4 linked regions of the Caenorhabditis elegans genome follow. The protein of the gene in region 4 purifies or fractionates together with the protein of the main gene of each other region. This does not show direct contact. Each region holds a gene or a part of one and is shown on either strand. Other genes may lie near its edges. The genes, in order: eak-7, C17F4.7, fcp-1 and elpc-4.

Evidence for each region.
Region 1: the proteins of elpc-4 (region 4) and eak-7 fractionate together in Caenorhabditis elegans (co-fractionation; one large-scale study listed by BioGRID). This does not show direct contact.
Region 2: the proteins of elpc-4 (region 4) and C17F4.7 fractionate together in Caenorhabditis elegans (co-fractionation; one large-scale study listed by BioGRID). This does not show direct contact.
Region 3: the proteins of elpc-4 (region 4) and fcp-1 fractionate together in Caenorhabditis elegans (co-fractionation; one large-scale study listed by BioGRID). This does not show direct contact.

Annotation. Positions count from the first base shown.
Region 1 is NC_003282.8:12,563,275-12,568,035, reverse strand, and holds eak-7 (MTOR-associated protein MEAK7), read left to right. Parts: upstream 1-2,052; 5' UTR 2,053-2,054; coding exon 2,055-2,180; intron 2,181-2,235; coding exon 2,236-2,415; intron 2,416-2,462; coding exon 2,463-2,889; intron 2,890-3,333; coding exon 3,334-3,479; intron 3,480-3,560; coding exon 3,561-3,683; intron 3,684-3,743; coding exon 3,744-3,941; 3' UTR 3,942-4,261; downstream 4,262-4,761. Other genes in the region: Protein let-99, read right to left, coding at 1-85, 136-180; hsb-1 (Heat shock factor-binding protein 1), read left to right, coding at 824-904, 959-1,120.
Region 2 is NC_003280.10:3,244,538-3,247,809, reverse strand, and holds C17F4.7 (MD-2-related lipid-recognition domain-containing protein), read left to right. Parts: upstream 1-1,794; 5' UTR 1,795-1,824; coding exon 1,825-2,286; intron 2,287-2,542; coding exon 2,543-2,641; 3' UTR 2,642-2,723; downstream 2,724-3,272. Other genes in the region: fbxc-50 (F-box domain-containing protein), read left to right, coding at 1-602, 1,221-1,437.
Region 3 is NC_003279.8:9,004,003-9,010,507, reverse strand, and holds fcp-1 (RNA polymerase II subunit A C-terminal domain phosphatase), read left to right. Parts: upstream 1-1,799; coding exon 1,800-1,997; intron 1,998-2,042; coding exon 2,043-2,219; intron 2,220-2,570; coding exon 2,571-2,699; intron 2,700-3,170; coding exon 3,171-3,413; intron 3,414-3,828; coding exon 3,829-4,116; intron 4,117-4,205; coding exon 4,206-4,393; intron 4,394-4,437; coding exon 4,438-4,909; intron 4,910-4,953; coding exon 4,954-5,082; intron 5,083-5,350; coding exon 5,351-5,506; 3' UTR 5,507-5,995; downstream 5,996-6,505. Other genes in the region: rbpl-1 (E3 ubiquitin-protein ligase RBBP6), read left to right, coding at 1-441, 562-987, 1,057-1,122, 1,168-1,248. UniProt on the Caenorhabditis elegans protein: During the late stages of oogenesis, dephosphorylates 'Ser-5' of the heptad repeats YSPTSPS in the C-terminal domain of the largest RNA polymerase II subunit ama-1.
Region 4 is NC_003282.8:8,014,995-8,018,776, forward strand, and holds elpc-4 (Elongator complex protein 4), read left to right. Parts: upstream 1-1,999; 5' UTR 2,000-2,009; coding exon 2,010-2,145; intron 2,146-2,220; coding exon 2,221-2,631; intron 2,632-2,681; coding exon 2,682-3,139; 3' UTR 3,140-3,227; downstream 3,228-3,782. Other genes in the region: C26B2.8 (C3H1-type domain-containing protein), read left to right, coding at 1-45, 89-224, 275-403, 450-643; C26B2.7 (Cytochrome c oxidase assembly protein COX20, mitochondrial), read left to right, coding at 1,286-1,386, 1,437-1,539, 1,594-1,797; dnc-4 (Dynactin subunit 4), read right to left, coding at 3,309-3,525, 3,570-3,782.

The sequences.
Region 1 (4,761 bases), 4.5 Mb from region 4:
TGAAACTGTTTTCCGCAGTGGCCAATCCTCTTCTGTTCGTTTTGAGTGATAAGTTTGAACGAAAATGCCATAGAATTTCGTCGAACTGAAAATCAGAATAAAATTTCAAAAGACAAATGTGAAACATTTTAATACCAGATGCGTCGCCTTGAACTTCTCCGATGAGTAGTCGGCAGACATCACGGCAAGACGGCCTAAAACTTGAATTTTGATGGTTTATTGATAAATTTAAGAACTTCTTAAAAGAAAACGAGATTTCATCACGAAAAAAAGCAAGAATGAGGAAAAATTTCTGGAAACTTCCTAAAAATTGCTGAAACGAGTGAAGTTTTGGCGCCGAAGTTTTGTTTACGGACCAAACACACGAAAACACGACTTGTCACACAACTTATTAGCTACAGTAACCCATTCTGCTTTGAAAATTTCTCTTTTTAATTAAAAATTCCTCGATTCAGATGTTTTTTTTTTCTCAAAGTGTTTCTAATAATTATATTTTCCTCGAAATCCACACTATTTTACATAAAACAAATCATCTTATTCTGCTCTTTTCGCCGTTTACACCATCTGTCCTTCTCCAATGACTCCTTCTCTGCGTCTCTTTCACTCTCTCGCCGCCCTCTTTTTCTCTGTCGTCTCTCACTTCGACGTACTTTCTCTCGTGTTGTTGTTCCCGTACTTTTGTGTGTTCCACTGTTTGTGAGATGACGGCTAGTTGCCTGGTACTGGATTCTCACCAGTTTTAATTGATTTTTCATCAAATTTTCTTTAAAAACTGATTAAACTTTGTGATTTTTATCGTATTTTTACAGATTTTCAGTTCAAAATGTCCGATGAGAAGTCTACCACACCAACCGCTCAACTCGACGCTCCAGCCGATGGAAATATGAATGATTTGACGTCGTTGGTACGTAAATACTTGAAAAAAATTGTCAATTTTCTAAAAAATCCTAAAACTCAGATACAAGGAGTTCTGCAACAGACACAGGATCGATTCCAGCACATGTCGGATCAGATTATTCGGCGAATCGATGATATGACAACGAGAATCGATGATTTGGAGAAGAATATCAACGATTTGCTGCAATCGAACCAAGTTGAACATCCGCCAAGCGCTCAATAAGATTGGTACGGAATGAGAAAAATGGGAAACATTCTCAAAAATTTCGGTCGATGTTTTGACCACTCGTTATTTTTGAAAAACAGTGTTGTTTTTGATGTCGACTTTGAAATTTCAAAAAAAAACAATAATATGGGCCGTGGGACCCAATTAGAAATACAGTAAAAAACGCTCTTTGGCCGAATATTTTATAATTTTCATGTATGAAGTCAATCCTTTTATTCCTTCTTAACTTTAGTTTGAAATATATTTAGATTTCCTAGCGCCTTTCCAATCGATTTACCACGTGGTAATCAGGCCGATTGCACCGTTATTCCAAGACTTTATCATTAAAAATTAGTATAAAAATATAGAACTTCACCTATTAATTTTGGCTGAAAAATTCGCCGAAGAGCTCAAAAATGGTCTGAAAGATGCCAAATTTCCACTAAAAAATCAATTTGTAGAGATTATTAATAACTAATCTCTCTTCAATTTCTATTTTTTCCAGCTCTACACTCTTCCCAAATGAATCATCGTCGCTTCCTTCTTCATCATCATCATAATTCCAATTCGTTTTGTGTGCTTCTCTGCGTCTCTCCTACATACATATACTCTTTTCACGTCTTCTTCTTCTTCTTTTTCTACTGATTATGCACGTGTTGAGAGGATTCATGACTACTATGTTGTGCCTCCTGCTTTTAATCTCTTATTCAATAACTTTTGTTGCATTTTATTACGATTTTCGGAATTATTTTATTTATATGTGAAAACACAAATTTTGCCAAAAATTCAAATTTTTGTGCATTTTTAAAAAAAATTTTCAATATGAAACTATTCATCTTACTTTTTCTTCTTCTTCCCTTGAATTTTTTCTCATACTAAATGTTGATTTCTCACAGTTTTTACTAACTATTTCGCATCCGGATTTTCAGATAAAAAACATATAATTTCAGAAATGGGAGCTCAAAATTCGAAGCGAAAAGATCTAAAAAATATTAACGATGAGGATTATGCACATTTTATGGAAAAACTCAAAAAACACACAGATGGAAAGGACAAAATGACGCGAGACCAGTTTGTGGTGAATTAATTTTTAGAAGGAAAATACATTTTAATATAAAATTTTCAAATTCCAGGCAATGTTCATACCGATTCTGGGTGAATATTCATCACAATTCTACTTTCGTTTGGTAAAAAACGAGCCGCAGGGCGTTTTGCTCGCTAAAACAATCCTAAAATGTATTGATACTGGACTGGGACATTTCGATCAGCTCGCCGATATGCTCAGATTCTGTTTTGGAGATCAAAAAGATCAGGTTTCGAATTTATTAATTTAAAGAAAAACTTCTTTTTTTTTTGTCAGATAATGCGAAATGTTGTGAAAATCTTCTGTGAAGGAAACAAATTCACCCGAGAGGATCAGGTCCGTCTCTACGATTATTTCGAAACAGAAAATACAAAACCAGTGAGCGAACTGGAAAGCTTTTTCTCAATGTGCCCACTGTTCGCCTATTGTGCTTCGTTCATTTTCCAACGACTTTTGGATAAAACTGGAGACTCGAAAATGCCAATTCTCTCGGACAAGACTCATTTAATGGGAAATATCGATCAATTAGTGCTCAACTCGCACCTTCCATTCGATCGACGCAAAAATTGGACACTTTTATATTCAAACATGAAACACGGGCAAAGTTTCTCACAATTGGTTAAATGTATTAATGGAGAAGGTCCTTGTATGATTGTGATCAGATCAATGAAAGGACGACGATTTGGGTTTTTCGCCTCGCAAGGTACACAAGAAATGTTGTGTCGATTTACGCAGCTCGTGTACTCCTCGAGAAGAATTTATACCTTATGATTTGCAGAAGATTTTACAGATTTTACTTTTTTTGCAGATTTTCTAGATTTCAGATCTTTCTTTTTGTAGACTGAAACCGAGAAATTGTAGTTTTACAATAGCAAATACATTTTCAAAAATGCTATAAATTATAGATAAATTGATGATTCCAGTTTTAAATATCAAAAAAATTGACAAACAGTTTCAAAAATTGAACATTTCATCCAAAAACTGTAAAATCTTCCTCCACGAGGAATACACGAACTGCGTAAATCCACACATGGCTGTGTTACAAGTTTCGCAGTAATTCTTCATTTTTTCAATTATGATAAAGCAACGGAATTCTAGCAGATACTATTTGAGTACCAATTTTCTCTAAAAATTGAAAATTTTTTAGGTTTTCTCGCGGGACCCCAATACCGTGGCACGGCCGAGTGTTTCCTCTTCCAGCTGGCTCCGAAAATTGCAACTTTTGATGCGACCGGGCGGACTGAGAATTACGTGTACCTAAACTACCAGCAACAGCAACATCCGAATGGATTGGTGAGTATATCCCGCCATGGATCATTCAGTATCTAGAGAACCAGTTTTACGATTTTTAAGTGTGAAATTTTCAAATTTCAGGGAATTGGTGGAACCGAATCCGTATGGCCGTTGTTTATCCACGAGGAGTTTGGCGGTGGAACGTGCCAAAAGAATTCCAGTTCGTTTGAGCCTTGCCACATTGCCGAAGAGGACGAGTTCAAGGTGAATCGGGACTAAAGCCCTTAAAGCCGAAAAAACGAAACAAAAACATGCATTTTCCAGATCAAAACAATCGAGGCTTGGCGCCCGGGCGACAAACCACAGAAATCATTCGAAGAGCAAATCTTGCTCGAGGAACGATCGCCGGAAAAATCGATAATCGACAAGGATCCGGAGGCTCGTGCGGTGCTCGAGTTGGCCGGAAAATCGATGCATTCGGAAGCGTATCGTGATCCGGCTCCCCTGCTCGATGGTGAATAGGCTCCGGAACCTCTAATCCCCAATTGCCACTTTCTCAGTCTTCTTTGATCCTTTACATCACCTGTAATTCCACTTTCATCAGTTTTTGTATCTCCTGTGCTATTTAAACGCTGCAAGACCCATGTGCGCCTTTAAATGATCACTATATCTTTGAATTCATAATACTTTTCCGCCGCCCGTCCCCATGTCCTGCCGCCGTGAGCTAAACAATGGTTGTTAATATTTCGACAATTTTACATGTAAATTTTCACATCCATACGTTTCTGCAATTTTTCAATCAAAAATTCTAGAAATTTTCAAATAAAAATGAATTTTCGATTTTTTCATCATACCAACTAAAACATAACATTTTTATAAGGCTTCCAATTCAAGATGATGAGCTCATTCTCTAACGCGGATTACAAAAAATCATTCAAACTGCGTCCGTCGATCCGTCTCTTCTCGCGTCGACTCCTCGTGTGATTTGCCGCTTCCAACACCCTAGCAGCGACAGCAGTGCTCCATATTTCACCCGTGAGCCGACGTTTCAGCCGATCCAAGAGTTTATCGAAATGTCCGAACATTTTCACGATATTACGTACGTACGTTTTCAGCTCAGAATTCGCATTTATTTTAAGTTCCGATAGTGAAAAATGGTGACAAAAAATTTAAATTCCTGTCAAAAAGTGGGTGAAAGCCATAATTTTGGAAGATAACCAAACATCTCTTGTCTTTTTCTACGATTCATGTATTTTAATTGAGGATTCCATGTCAGAGTCGCGCGGCGTCGGAGCCTCACGCCGGCCGGCCTTCTTCGTCGCTCCTTCAAAAAATATTTTAT
Region 2 (3,272 bases), on a different chromosome or scaffold from region 4:
CTCGACAAGCGGACCGGCCAGCAAATCCGTGAGCCCTCACGTCACTCCATGGAGGATCTCATTTCCCGACTGCTCAGTGGATACCAGGAGCCTCTGAGCATCGGGCTTCTTCTCATCCCCAATTCGGAAGTCTTAAAGTTCCCGGAGTCCCTGAAAGTGAAGGCTCTCTGCTTGACGATCCAATCCAACGTGGCTTCGGTGATGGGCTCGCTGAGCAAGATGCTTGATGAGAAGAGCTTCCCGCTTCGTAGGCTCTATGTGATTGGGCACAAGGATTTTGAGAAATTCGAGAACTTCAGTCACGATGCTTGCAAAAACGCAAAGAAGCTGGTGATCCTGGGACGTTCGGTGCCGGTTTCTTTCCTTTGCAGCCTTCCGAACAAGAGGATTCATTTGGAGAGCGCGGACGACTACACGGTCGACGATTTTATGCGGCTTATCGAGAAATGGGCCGATGGGACTACGGAGAATATCAAAACTGCCGGTAATTTCCACTACAAGTTCACGCTGTCAAATCCGGAGCTGGTGAAGCAAGTGTTCGCGTTGTCTGAGGTGCTTGGCGACGCCGGAAAGAAGGATCCGATCAAATTTTTTGGAAAAGTGTGAGTTTATCGGGTAGTTAGGTAGATTTACGGTTTTTAGTGTGGGTTTACGGGAATAGGTGTAGATTTACGGAGGAATGTGAGGATATAGGTGGTCTGTGTAGATTCACGAAAAGTTGAGTAGATTTACGAAAGCACATGTAGTTTTACGGGAGATTGTGTAGGTTTACGGAAGCTAGTGTAGATTTACAGGAGCCCGTGAAGATTTACGGGGGCTAGTGTAGATTTACGGGGGTTAGTGTGGATTTACGGGGACTGTGTAGATTTACGGATCTACACATAGATTTACGGAAGGAATGAGTGAACTTGCGGTAGGTGGCGTAGATAAACGGGAAGTAGATAGTGTAGATTTACGGAAGACTATGTGGATTTACAAGAGGAATGTGTGAACTTACGGTAGGTGTAGATTTACGGACGCCAGTGTAGATTTACGGAAGGACGTGTAGATTTACGGAAGCAAGTGTAGATTTACGAACCTACGTAAAGATTTACGGATCTTTGTGTAGACTTGCGGATTTTCATGTAGATTTACTTAAATTTCTGCCAAATTGTAAATGTTTTCTTGTAGATTTACGGCGCTTTTTACCTTGTCATTCATTAATTTATCTATTATTTCAGATGCGAAGAGTTCCCCAATGTGATTGTCTACACCGTGAGTGACACCATGGAAATCTACGCGTACTGTGAAAAGAAGAGCCCCGAGAAATGGTTGCTCACCATCACAATCGACCGAGTTGGCCTCAACAAGTTGTACTATATGATTGAAACATTGCTCGACGAGTTTATGGACAAAGTGGAGGGAGTTGGAAAGTCGAAGCATTTGTGTCGTTATTAAATTTTGTATAGAATTTTATTGTGTTTTATAATAGTAATTAAATAAATTGGAATATCTAGATTTTGATAATTTGCTGGAAGCTGGAAATTTCTCTGAAAATAGGCAGTCTACCGGACATCTCAGGTCTTACATAGGTAGTTTGTAATTGGAATCCGGAGATTGCAATTTAATTTTCAATTTCCGTTTTTCATATGGTTTCCAAACTTCAAAAACCAAGCAGCCAATTTTCCTTATCACTACTTCACTAACTGCACTTTTATGGCTCGTTCAGCGTCATCCACATATTAACTATGCGACACAAAATAGTTAAACTGATAAGGGTGGTGTGACTGGTTTCAGCATATAAAACCCCGCTCCAAACTAGGAAACCATTGCACTTTTCTGGCTATGTTATCAGTTCTGTTTCTCCTGCTCGTCGGAGCATTCACCATCGGAGCCAACCCGGTCAACTTTGCAGACTGCCCATTCCCAAATGGTACTGACAAGGCGATTCACTCCTACATGTGCTCCGACAATGAGCAATTTTCAATCACCGATATTCAGACTTTGGACTCTAATCAGAAGCCCTACTACCCGATTGACCCCCGCCATCCGTTTATTCTGAACCTTACCACTTACAATCATGGAGAACAAATTGATGATAATAAGGTGAAAGTGAAAATCAATCAGTACAAGTCAGGATGGACTGGTGGATGCTCTTGGAAGTCGATTCCCACTTTTGGATTGTTGGATGATATTGATGGCTGTGATTTTGCACACAATTGCCCGTTGGAGTCAGGACCGCTGTTTTTGATTTTGCCGTTGGATTTGAGCCAGTTTTCTGTCATCATTGAGCTTCTGGCTGCGCATGTAAGTTACAGTACCCCTACAGTACTCCTACAGTACCCAACCACAATAACTTTAAATGAATCCTTTGGTAATCTAGGAAAACAGTTATCCTACAGTACCCTTACATTATCTGAAAACATAACTCCTACAGTACAGCAGTATGTGCTAGAATTTGAGATGTTCCAGTTTCAAACTAGCGACGTCACAAACTACAAACTACATACACTCCATTGTGATCTCAAAATTTTCTTTAAATTCACTGTTTTCTCATTTTCAGAAGCCCTACGAACTGGAAATCCGCATGTTCAACCACAATCCAGGAAATACAAAGCACGAAGAGATTGCCTGTGTTATGGCACAACTTGAGCTCTCCTAATTTTTTTTTGTACATTTTGATATGCTCGATAATAAATACATATGCGCATGACAATTGAAAATATTACTAAAAAAGTAACTTGTTTCATTATTTTCAAAAATCAAACATTTTTATGGCAGGGTCATAAAAAGGATGTCGGTGATGGAGAACTGCTCATTATCGGAGCAGAGGTCATAAAAATGCGTATATTTAGTATTTGTGATTTTTTAGGAAATTTCAGAAAATTCCAAAAAAAAAACTACAGAATTTTTCAGAAATGTGTAAAGCATTTCAATTTTTTCTATAATTTTTGCAGTCTAGAAATTATTTAACATTAAAAAAAATTAATTTCTGAATTTTTCAACAAATTTTTAATTTGTAGTTTTCCTACACATCTCTTCCAAATTCCCAAAAGTTCAATCCGTGTCACTTTCCAATTTCCCTTTTATCTCAAGATTATCCTGTTCGCTATCACTTCTTCGAGGGGGGGGGGGGGGGGTCAAACTTCTAGTACACTTTTTAGATATTGAAAAAAAAACCAGAAAAACAAAAAACAACTTATTATAAAGTTAATATTACATGTGGGAAATTGCAATAATTTTTTTTTTCAAAAAAATATTAAAATTTGAAGAATTGGCGAGAAACCTAAATT
Region 3 (6,505 bases), on a different chromosome or scaffold from region 4:
CGAAAACGGAAGAAGCACAAGAAGCACAAAAAAGAGAAAAAGTCAAAGAAGGAGAAGAGAGATGAGGATGAGGATGATCTTGATACCGAAAAGAAAGAAAAAAAGAAGGAAAGAAAGTATCAGGATGATAAAGATGAGGATTCTAATAGAAAAGAGCCAAGATCTCTAGATGATGAGGACAAAGTGGAGTTGGACAAAAATTTTGCTGACAAAAAAGAAAAGAAGAAAGGAAAATGGAATGAGGATGAAGAGGACATCTTCGAGGATAGAAAAGAGGAGCTTCCTAAGGAATCCGATCGGAGAGACAGGAAAGACCGTAGACATGATGATGAGGATGATCGTAAGGAACGTCGGCATGAAAGAGATTCTCAAAAAATTGATGAGCAAGATAGAAAGAAAGAGAGAAAGCGAGATCGAGAGACCGAGGCATATGACAGTGATGTAAGTTTTGGTTTATTCTTATTTTTAGATTAGTTGTTTTAATTGTTGATTGTTTTGAGGAAAAATTTAGCAATCAGAAATCATCTTCCGGGTTTAGGAAAAATGAACAAATTTTTATAGAAATTGCAGGCCCCCAAGACAAAGGTGAAGCGTGAAGACAAGAAGCGTGACGATCGGAAAGATTATGAACGGGACAGGGAACGCAGGAAGGATGACTATGAAAAGGAGAAGAGTAAAAGAAAGGAGAGTGATCGGGATAATGAAAAAGAGAAACAACGCGAGAAGGAAGTGGAAAAGGAACACGAGAAGGATCGCAAAGAGAAGCGGAAAATCGTTGAGAAAGAGTCTGAGAAACCACGAAAATCGGTTCATGAGCGTATGCAGAAAGCTGACTCATCCACTTCTTCAAGCTCTAGAACTACTACTGCTCCATCACTTGAACGAAAACCTGTCTCGTTTACTGTTGCTTCGAGCAAACCAACGACAAACATCAGAGTTCGTCAATACTCGTCCTCATCATCAACCAAGGAACAAGAAGATGAAGAAGTACGTTTTATTCACAAATATTTCACTAAAATTCAATTAATCAAAAAATATATAATTTAAAAATTTTAGCGGTCGAAGCGGGATCGCCGGAAGAAGGACGAAACTGACGTGGAGAGCATTGGGGAAAAGGAGAAGGTAATTTTTGTTGTTTTTGAAGAATTTTAATCTTAGATATTTCAGAAATCTTCGTCTCGAAAAGTTCCAAAGGAGAGTGTAGATGTCAAACACAAGAGTACCAAGATTAAATTTGATCTTTTGTAATCATTTTTGTATCTATATTTGAGTTATTAATTATGTTCCATCCTATTATTCGTTTTTCTCATATTCCCCCCTATTTTTCTAGTTCTTCTTAGAGGGAACCACATCTACTGTGACTTTGATTCTCTTTTTTCACCATTATTTTTTTTTTCTAAAAACGCTTCCATTTTTATTCATTTTTCGTCCCATCTGTGGAATTATTCTGTTTTTTTTTCACTTTTCTTGTTCCTGTTGGAATAAAAATTCCGTTTTATTTTTACTCTATTTTTACCTTTTTTCTTATTTTTATCCCAAAATTTCTCGGTCCTGAATTTGCCGCAAATAATATCAGAATGGCTAATTTTACAGATTCGATTTCAAAAAAAGCGCCGAAATTAACCTTTTGGTAATAAAATCGAAAATTGAAAAAAAAGTTTTGGAGAGAATGCGTACATATGTATTTTAGATGATGAACACAAAATTGTTGAAAAATTTTACTTTTAAATAACATTTAATAATTCAATAACAGTCGAATTTGATATCTTAATTGAAAAGATATAAATATTCTTTTCCAGATGGATATTAAATTTGAAGGAAACGATGCCGAGTGCACAGCTGGCCTGAAAAAGGCCAGTGAAGGAAGTTTTGTATTGAAAGATCACGTTCTGATAGAATTCAAAATCAACGGAAAAGTGGCGGGAAAGATAAAGACACCATGTGAGGGTGTAGTTACTTTTGGAAAAGGTCTTAAACCAGGAATCGTATTGAATAAGGTAAATTGAAATTATTTATTCAATTGAAACTGTTTTCATTTTCAGGGTCAAGTGATTGCTACAGTATCCGAATGTACTCATGCAATTGTTATCAAAGATATGTGTGCAACATGTGGTAAAGATCTACGTGAAAAGGGAGGACGAGCCGGTCAGAGAAAGGAACAATCAACGGCTAATGTATCTATGATTCATCATGTTCCAGAACTTATTGTGTCGGATACGGTTAGCATCATTTTTATTACCCGGATGCGGCGATTTTTTCAATAAAAATACGGTAACCGGTCTCGCAAAACGTTGTGCGCCTTTAAATAGCTAATGCAGAATTTTCATCGTTTTTCGAAAGTTAATTAAAACTTTAAAATAAAGCAAGTTTAAACTATTTTTAAGTAAAGTATACGATTTTGAGAAAAATAGAAAACTTCATGAAAATCCCATAATATTACAGTTCTTTTTAAAGACGAACATATTTTTGCATTTATCAAAAATTGTCGTGTTGAGACCGTGAACCGCATTTTTGGCTCAAAAATTCGCCTACTAGGCAAATAATATTTCGATAAAAAACTTTTTTTTCAGCTAGCAAAAGAGATTGGATCAGCCGATGAAAACAATCTGATCACCAATAGAAAACTCGTATTGCTTGTTGATTTGGATCAGACAATTATTCACACTTCCGACAAACCAATGACTGTGGATACTGAAAATGTAAGAATCAATAGTTTTGACGAAAAAAAAGTTTTTTTTCAGTTTTTCTCAGAGAAAACTGAAAAATTGAAAAAAAATGTTCCGAAAATTAGCAAAAAATTAAAACACAAATTTAACGAATTTTGGTCGTGTCGATGAAAACAAATAATTTCAAACAACCATATAATTTTCTTCTAGAAAAAAAATGGCCAAAATGTAAAGCCATTTTTCGAAAAAAAAAACACTTTTCAGAAAATTAATAAAGATTTCAAAAAAAATTTCTCATCGAGCTTCTATGTAAATGATAAAGTTAGAAAAGCATAATTTTCTTATCGTAATAAGAAAAATCGACAAAAACTTTAAATTATTTTCCGAGAAACCTTTTTTCTAATTTAATTTTGGTACAAAAAAATTGTGTTTTTTGATTTTCTAAAATTATCGAAAAATTGTCACTCTTGATAGGAATACTCATATATTTTCTATAAATTTCAGCACAAAGACATCACCAAATATAACCTTCACTCTCGTGTTTATACCACTAAACTCCGACCACATACAACAGAATTCTTGAATAAAATGTCAAATATGTATGAAATGCACATTGTTACCTATGGACAACGTCAATATGCTCATCGTATTGCTCAGATTCTTGATCCAGATGCTCGACTCTTTGAACAACGCATTTTGTCTCGAGATGAACTATTCTCGGCTCAACACAAGACCAATAATTTGAAGGTATAATTTTTAAAAATTAAAAATAAAAATAATTTCAAACTCCAATGGAGTTTGCCCAAAATTCGCAAAAATCACGAAAAAAGCGAAAAACTAAAAACTATAATTTTAAAGTCATTTAAAAGTTTTTTACAAATTCTTCGTTTTTTTGCTCTTTAATATAAAAAAACGGAAAGTACATTTTTTGTCAAAAAAAAACACCATTTTTTTTAAAGCGAAAAACAAGAAATCTTCAGCCCTGAAAACATGAAACTCGTAGAAAATATTAATCGATCAGAATTGTGATGAATGAAAAATGAGTTTTCATCAATTTTTCGACTGTTAATGAAAATTTCAAATTTTTAAAAAGTGTTACCATGAAATTTGGTTTTTTTTTAACATCATAGAATAAGTGTTAAACACAACAATTTTTATTCAGGCTCTATTCCCATGTGGCGACAATCTTGTAGTGATTATTGATGATCGATCAGATGTCTGGATGTATTCTGAAGCACTTATTCAAATCAAACCTTATCGATTCTTCAAAGAAGTCGGCGACATTAATGCTCCAAAAAACTCAAAAGAACAAATGCCAGTTCAAATTGAAGATGATGCTCATGAGGATAAGGTTCTTGAAGAAATTGAGCGAGTTTTAACGAATATTCATGATAAATATTATGAAAAGCACGATTTAAGAGGATCCGAGGAAGTGTTGCTTGATGTAAAGGTAAATTTTCATTTTAAATATTTAGTTATTGAATTATTATTCTAAGTTGAATATTTAAGTCTTTTGGACTTCTAGAAGTTGATTTTCAGGAAGTGATCAAAGAGGAACGACACAAAGTTCTTGATGGATGTGTCATTGTTTTTTCGGGAATCGTACCAATGGGTGAAAAGCTTGAAAGAACTGATATTTATCGTTTGTGTACTCAATTTGGAGCAGTTATTGTACCAGATGTGACTGATGATGTTACTCATGTTGTTGGAGCAAGATATGGAACACAGTTAGTTTTATCATTTTAGCATTTTAAAATTCTTTTATTTTCAGAAAAGTTTATCAAGCCAATCGTCTCAATAAGTTTGTGGTCACAGTTCAATGGGTATATGCTTGTGTCGAAAAGTGGCTTAAAGCAGATGAAAATCTGTTTCAACTAACAAAAGAAAGTACTCCTCCAGTTGGACGTCCACTTGGATCAAAGTATGTCAATGATTTGGCAAATATGGACACAATTGGGAAAGCCGCGTTAGCTGATATGAATAATGAAGTAGATGAAGCTCTATCGGATGATGAAGACGATGGAGACAATGAGGATGAGGATGATGATGGGAATGATGTTGGAGAAGATAAGGGAGATGAAAATTTAGAAGAGAAACAAGAGAAAAATGAAGAAGAAATGGATGATGTTGAGCAGAATGGATCTGTTGAGAATCAATCAGGAGATGCTTTGGAAAACGAGACAGATTCTACATCAAGGGGACAGAAAAGAAAGCATTGTCCTGAAATGGAGGACGAGGAAGAGGTAAGAAACTTGAAAATAATTTATTCCAATAATATTTATTTCAGGAATCAGATTCTGATAATGAGGATGACGATACCCCTATGTCGTACAAAGCACTTTTGTCAGATTCACGCAAAAAAGGTCGAATTGTTCCAGAAAACGAGGATGATGCAGTATTTGATGTTGATGATGAGGTAAAAAGGGCGGCAAGTATAAAAAATTGAAAATAAAACGGAAAGTTTTGAATTTATAGTGGCTAAAATTAATAGTAGTGAATTTTTTGAAAAAAGTTAAATTTTGGCTTCTTGAGCTTAAAAATATCAATCCAAATCGTTCCAGTGTCTAGAATTTATCGAAAAATACGACATTTTATCGATATTAAACAAAAATTCAAAGAAACACGTGAATCATTATTCCTGCTTGGGAGATCAAAAGTGTTTTGAAAAAAAAAGACTTTTACAGAAAGGCCACGCACCAGCTAATATAGATGAAGAAGAAGATGACGAAGACAATGAAGATGAGGAAGTACCGGAATCTGATGATGACGATGAGTTCGAGGATATGGCTGCATTGATCGAACGTCAGATTAGCGATGCAGTAGATGAAAAAGATCAATGAGTTTTCTGTGAAATCATCATGTGCTATTATTGTTTTCATTTCCTATTATTCTTTCAGTTGTTTCCCATCTTTTACATCTCATAATTATCACCCCCGTTCCCCATTTGATTCGATACTCAATGTTTTCTGTACTATTTACCTCCATTTAAATGGGAATAATCTGACAATTAATGTCGGCTGCTTGATCAGAGTGATTTTCATCAAATCAATCAAAACTTCACTAGAAGCCTGCATTTTTGTCATATATAAACGTTCACGGTTTGGAATATAGATTGCTTTTTATTCACTTATCTTTTGCCTTTTGATTGTAAATTCAAGAAAAGTCTGTCACTATGGAGTTATTCATCTTTCGATTGCTTACTTAAATACCTCTATTTTCATTTTATCGAATTAATTTTTTTTTCTAAATCGCGTCATTGTCTCATTTCTTCTCTCGTTTCACGTTGATCGTTATTATTTTTTTCTGAAAATGAATGAGATTCATTTCTATTTTTCTTGCTGACGCTTTCGCAATGCCGTTTGATTCGGAAGTATGATTTATTTTTTTCGAATTATAGGATTAATGTATAGTATTTGTTACGCGAGACCAAAAAAAGTTTCATGTAACAAATGTAGTACAATGTTTACATTTCCACAAAAATCAATAATTTACAATTTGTATACAATTCAATGTGGTCTTATATTACACAATCAATCGTTTCAACAACACGTTTTGCCGAACTGGATTTTTATCGATCTTTTACTATTTCCTTATTATTAAAAGTTATTAAAAGCTATATATTCGCAAAAAGTTTTGAAAAAAATTGGTAGAGTGATTAGCTATTGAAAAAACTTATTTCATTTCCTTTTAGTGACTAGTTTATTTACCATTGCAGTGAAAGTTTATGAAAAAAGTATTTACTTTTCTCTTTTGAAAAGAAATATTTTCTCGCATTTTTTGTCTATAGAGCATTTTTGCACACACGCGCACTAAGCGCCTTTTTTGTATGTATTTTCAGC
Region 4 (3,782 bases):
ATTGTCCCTCGTCTGTTGCCAGTTGCTCCGGCATATGAACTAATTGTATGTTAAATGATGAATATAATACTAAACAACTTGATTGTAGGCAACCTTTAGCGACGAACAAATATCGATGGGTCAACTTTTCGACGCTGATATACTGGACAAACTTGCAGATCCTCCAGTCATGTCAGCAGGAGTTGAACTTCAAGACGAGAAGCTCTATACAATTATACTTGCAGGTTTTTTTGCTACAGTTAATTACAGGTATAATAAGCATTGTTATTGACAGATGCTACCTCAAAGGCTGTCACTTGGCTGGTTGCAAATATTGCGGCATTTGATGGACAGCTTGAGATTCATAGAAGAACAAAGTCTGCTGTGTCTTATCAACCCCCAGATTCTACTGATAGACCAGTTGGTAAGCTCGAATATATTTTTTCGTAATCTTAAACACAAAATTTAAGGAATGCACACCATGATTCTTGCGCTCTATGAGCAGAATGACACGTGGACACAGAAAGATTTGGCTAGAATTGCAATGGATGATTTCAACTTTACAGAATGGCTTGAAGAATATGCCCATGTACTTCCTGCACAGGCACTTGCAGCAACATTTTATGGATATTCTACTAAAAAGGACGATAGAAAACGAATCTAATTTATAATAACTTAAGATTCCTATTTATGTACAAATTTTAATATATAAAAAGAATGAAACATACGATAAAAAGTTACTAAAAAATAATTAAAATGAGAAAAAAAAACAATGTTAAAATTAGCGGCGAAAAGCTAGATTATTTACGATAAACAACATGCGCGCCCGTCATTTCGGAGTCTCGTAGTTTCAACAATCTTTTTTTTTGAGGCCCCACGAAAAGGGGAGCAGAACGAAAAGGGGATCTGAAAAAAGGGGATCTGCGAAAAGGGGAGATACGAAAAGGGGAGATACGAAAAGGGGAGCAACGAAAAGGGGATCTGACACTGTGCCAAACGCTATTTTTCTCGAAGAAAACGATACAACGATGCTCCGATGTTACGCGTCGCGTGTTGTTAAGCGTATCTTCTAGAAGAAAATTTCAAAAATCAACGTGCGTTGCGTGAGAAAAATTGCGTTTTGTGCGTTTGGCACAGTGCCAGCTCCCCTTTTCGTTGCTCCCCTTTTCGTATCTCCCCTTTTCGTATCTCCCCTTTTCGCAGATCCCCTTTTTGCAGATCCCCTTTTCGTTCTGCTCCCCTTTTCGTGGGGCCTCTTTTTTGAGGAAATTAATTTTATAAAATTATTTTGAATTTCCTTTTTAAGATGCTTCGCATTATCCAACGTATTCCTACTGAACGATATCTCTGTACTCTTCCTGTGAAAAATCCAAAGCTTCACAGAACTAAAGATCAGAGAGATATTACGTAAGATTATGCTTTTTTAAACCTTCAAGTTTTTAATCAACAATTTTCAGAAACATGGACTTACTTGAAGAACAAATTCGTATTAAAAGCGCAGAAAAAAATCGCGAAATGACAATACAAGGACAGAAAGTGAAATGGGCTTATCGATCAGAGGTAAATTATATATACTGAAGAATATTCTAAAAACTGATTTAAATTGATTTCCAGCTTGTCGGCCGACATGACCTCGATAAAAATCATCGTAATACATGGATGGCTTACCTAATCATTATTCTTGTCGGATTCGGTGCGTTTGTAACAGTGAAATCTCAGGTGGTAATGGGTCGACGCCAGGAAATGGATGCTCGCGAAGCTCTCAGAAAGGAGCTGCAATTGAGTGGAGACGATCGAAAAAAGATTGGAGTAGTCTGATAATAATTCATATTGTTTTATTGCGGGTTTCTTTATATATTTTTTAGTTAGAACCCTATTTTTGTTTTTAGAAATAATAATTAGTTTGTTTAAATCTCATTTTTCTTTTCTGTTTCTCAAATTACATTATGGTTTGGTAATAACCTTGCAAATATTTTTATCGTAATTTCCTGGTCAACATCAATATTTCATATTTTTAAAGTAATTTCAGAATGTTGAACGTTGGTGATAGTGTTCAAATTGCCGGATGTTCAACAAAGAAACGCTTACTGGAAACTTCAAGTGGTTGCGATTCATTTGACACACTCATTGGAGGAGCTTTAGTTAATTCAAGTATTGTTCTCATAGGTAATTTATTAATTTAGTTGCTACCTGTTCATTAAATACCCGCTAACCTAAAATTAAAATCACATTCATTTTCAGACGAGTATCGTTCTCGTTGCTATGGATCTTATCTCATTCGTTCATTCCTCGCAGAAGGACTTCATCATGGTCATCGATGCTTCATTGCGGATCCCACGGAAGATCCCAAAGAGATCAATCTCATACCATCTAGAAGAACATCCACGGATATGCAAAATCAAGAAATTCCAAATTCTCTGCCGGCAGAAAATGAAAACTCGATGAAAATTGCGTGGCGGTATGGAAATGTAAAACAAGTTTCCTCTTCCCTTGGACCATTAAGCAACGAAAATCAGTATGACTTTACGAAGCATGTAGAGAATCCGAATGTTGACGTGTATGCGGAGAAAGTTTTTACGCTAAAAGGGATTTACGAGACGCTCTGCCAAATTGTAAAAGAAAATGAAGCTCACACAAAATCCGGCGGAAGAGGTGAGATTTTTATTGAATTATTATACATAAACTAATGAATTTTACTTCAGGTGGACCGAAAAAGAATCTTCTTCGAGTGGTTCTGAAGAATATCGATATGGAAATTTGTGAAGATTACAAGTTCCTTGGCCGATTCCTGTGCTGTCTCCGATCTTTAGCTCGTTCGAGTTACATGATTGTATACATCACGGCTAACTCCTTCAGAGTTCCGAAACCAACTTGGCGTATACTGGAATCCGCAGCTGATACACATATTCAACTGATGCCGTTTGATGAAAATGAGAAGAAAATGTTCAAACATCTTGGCACTGCTCATGGATACTTCCATTTGAAGAGTTTGCCCCGATTGATGTCCGTTGGAACACACACTCCACCGATTCTCGATCTTATTTTTGAAGCAAGTTCCAGAAAAGGTTTCCAAATTCGAGTGATGCATCTTCCACCTGCATTTGATGAGCCAGCTCCAGGTCATCAAAATACTCCATCTTGCCAGAATATTGATTTTTGATTTTCTCGATCATGTTTATTTGTTGTTGGGATGTTTGAATGTTGAATTTTAAAGTATTTAATTTAAAGCATAAAAACGTCTTCTAAATATTTAACAAAGCTTATAAATTATGTTTAAGAAAAGACACGCTGTGGTAGAGAAAGGATAGAAACAAATATACATGAAATGATTATCTGAGATCTACTTTTAAATTAGCAGAGAGAATTGGATCAGGACACGTTTCTTCTGGTTTCAATATTTTGTCACTAGCGGAGGAGAGACGGAACGATCCATCCTGACAATATGTAATCAAAAGATTGAGACATGGAGAAGAGAGATCCATCTCGGTGGGAATAACATCCAGTCGAAGGCCAACTCGGTTGTGCTGTCGGAACACGATGACGTCACTGGAATACCATTTTTAGTCAATTAAAAACAAGAAAAAACTAACCTTTGGTCAGCATGAACTCCAGGAGCAGCAGTATCCGATGCTCGCGATGATGGAAGAAGAAGCTGGATTGGATCACTGGAACATTGAATGAAACCATTTCCAGATTGAGGTGCGATAGTCAAATCCATTGCAGATGATGATAAGTTGGTAATAGAGAGAAATACGTGTGATGTCTCCCCAACTTTAAGATCATCAACCGGTCGAGACATTCTG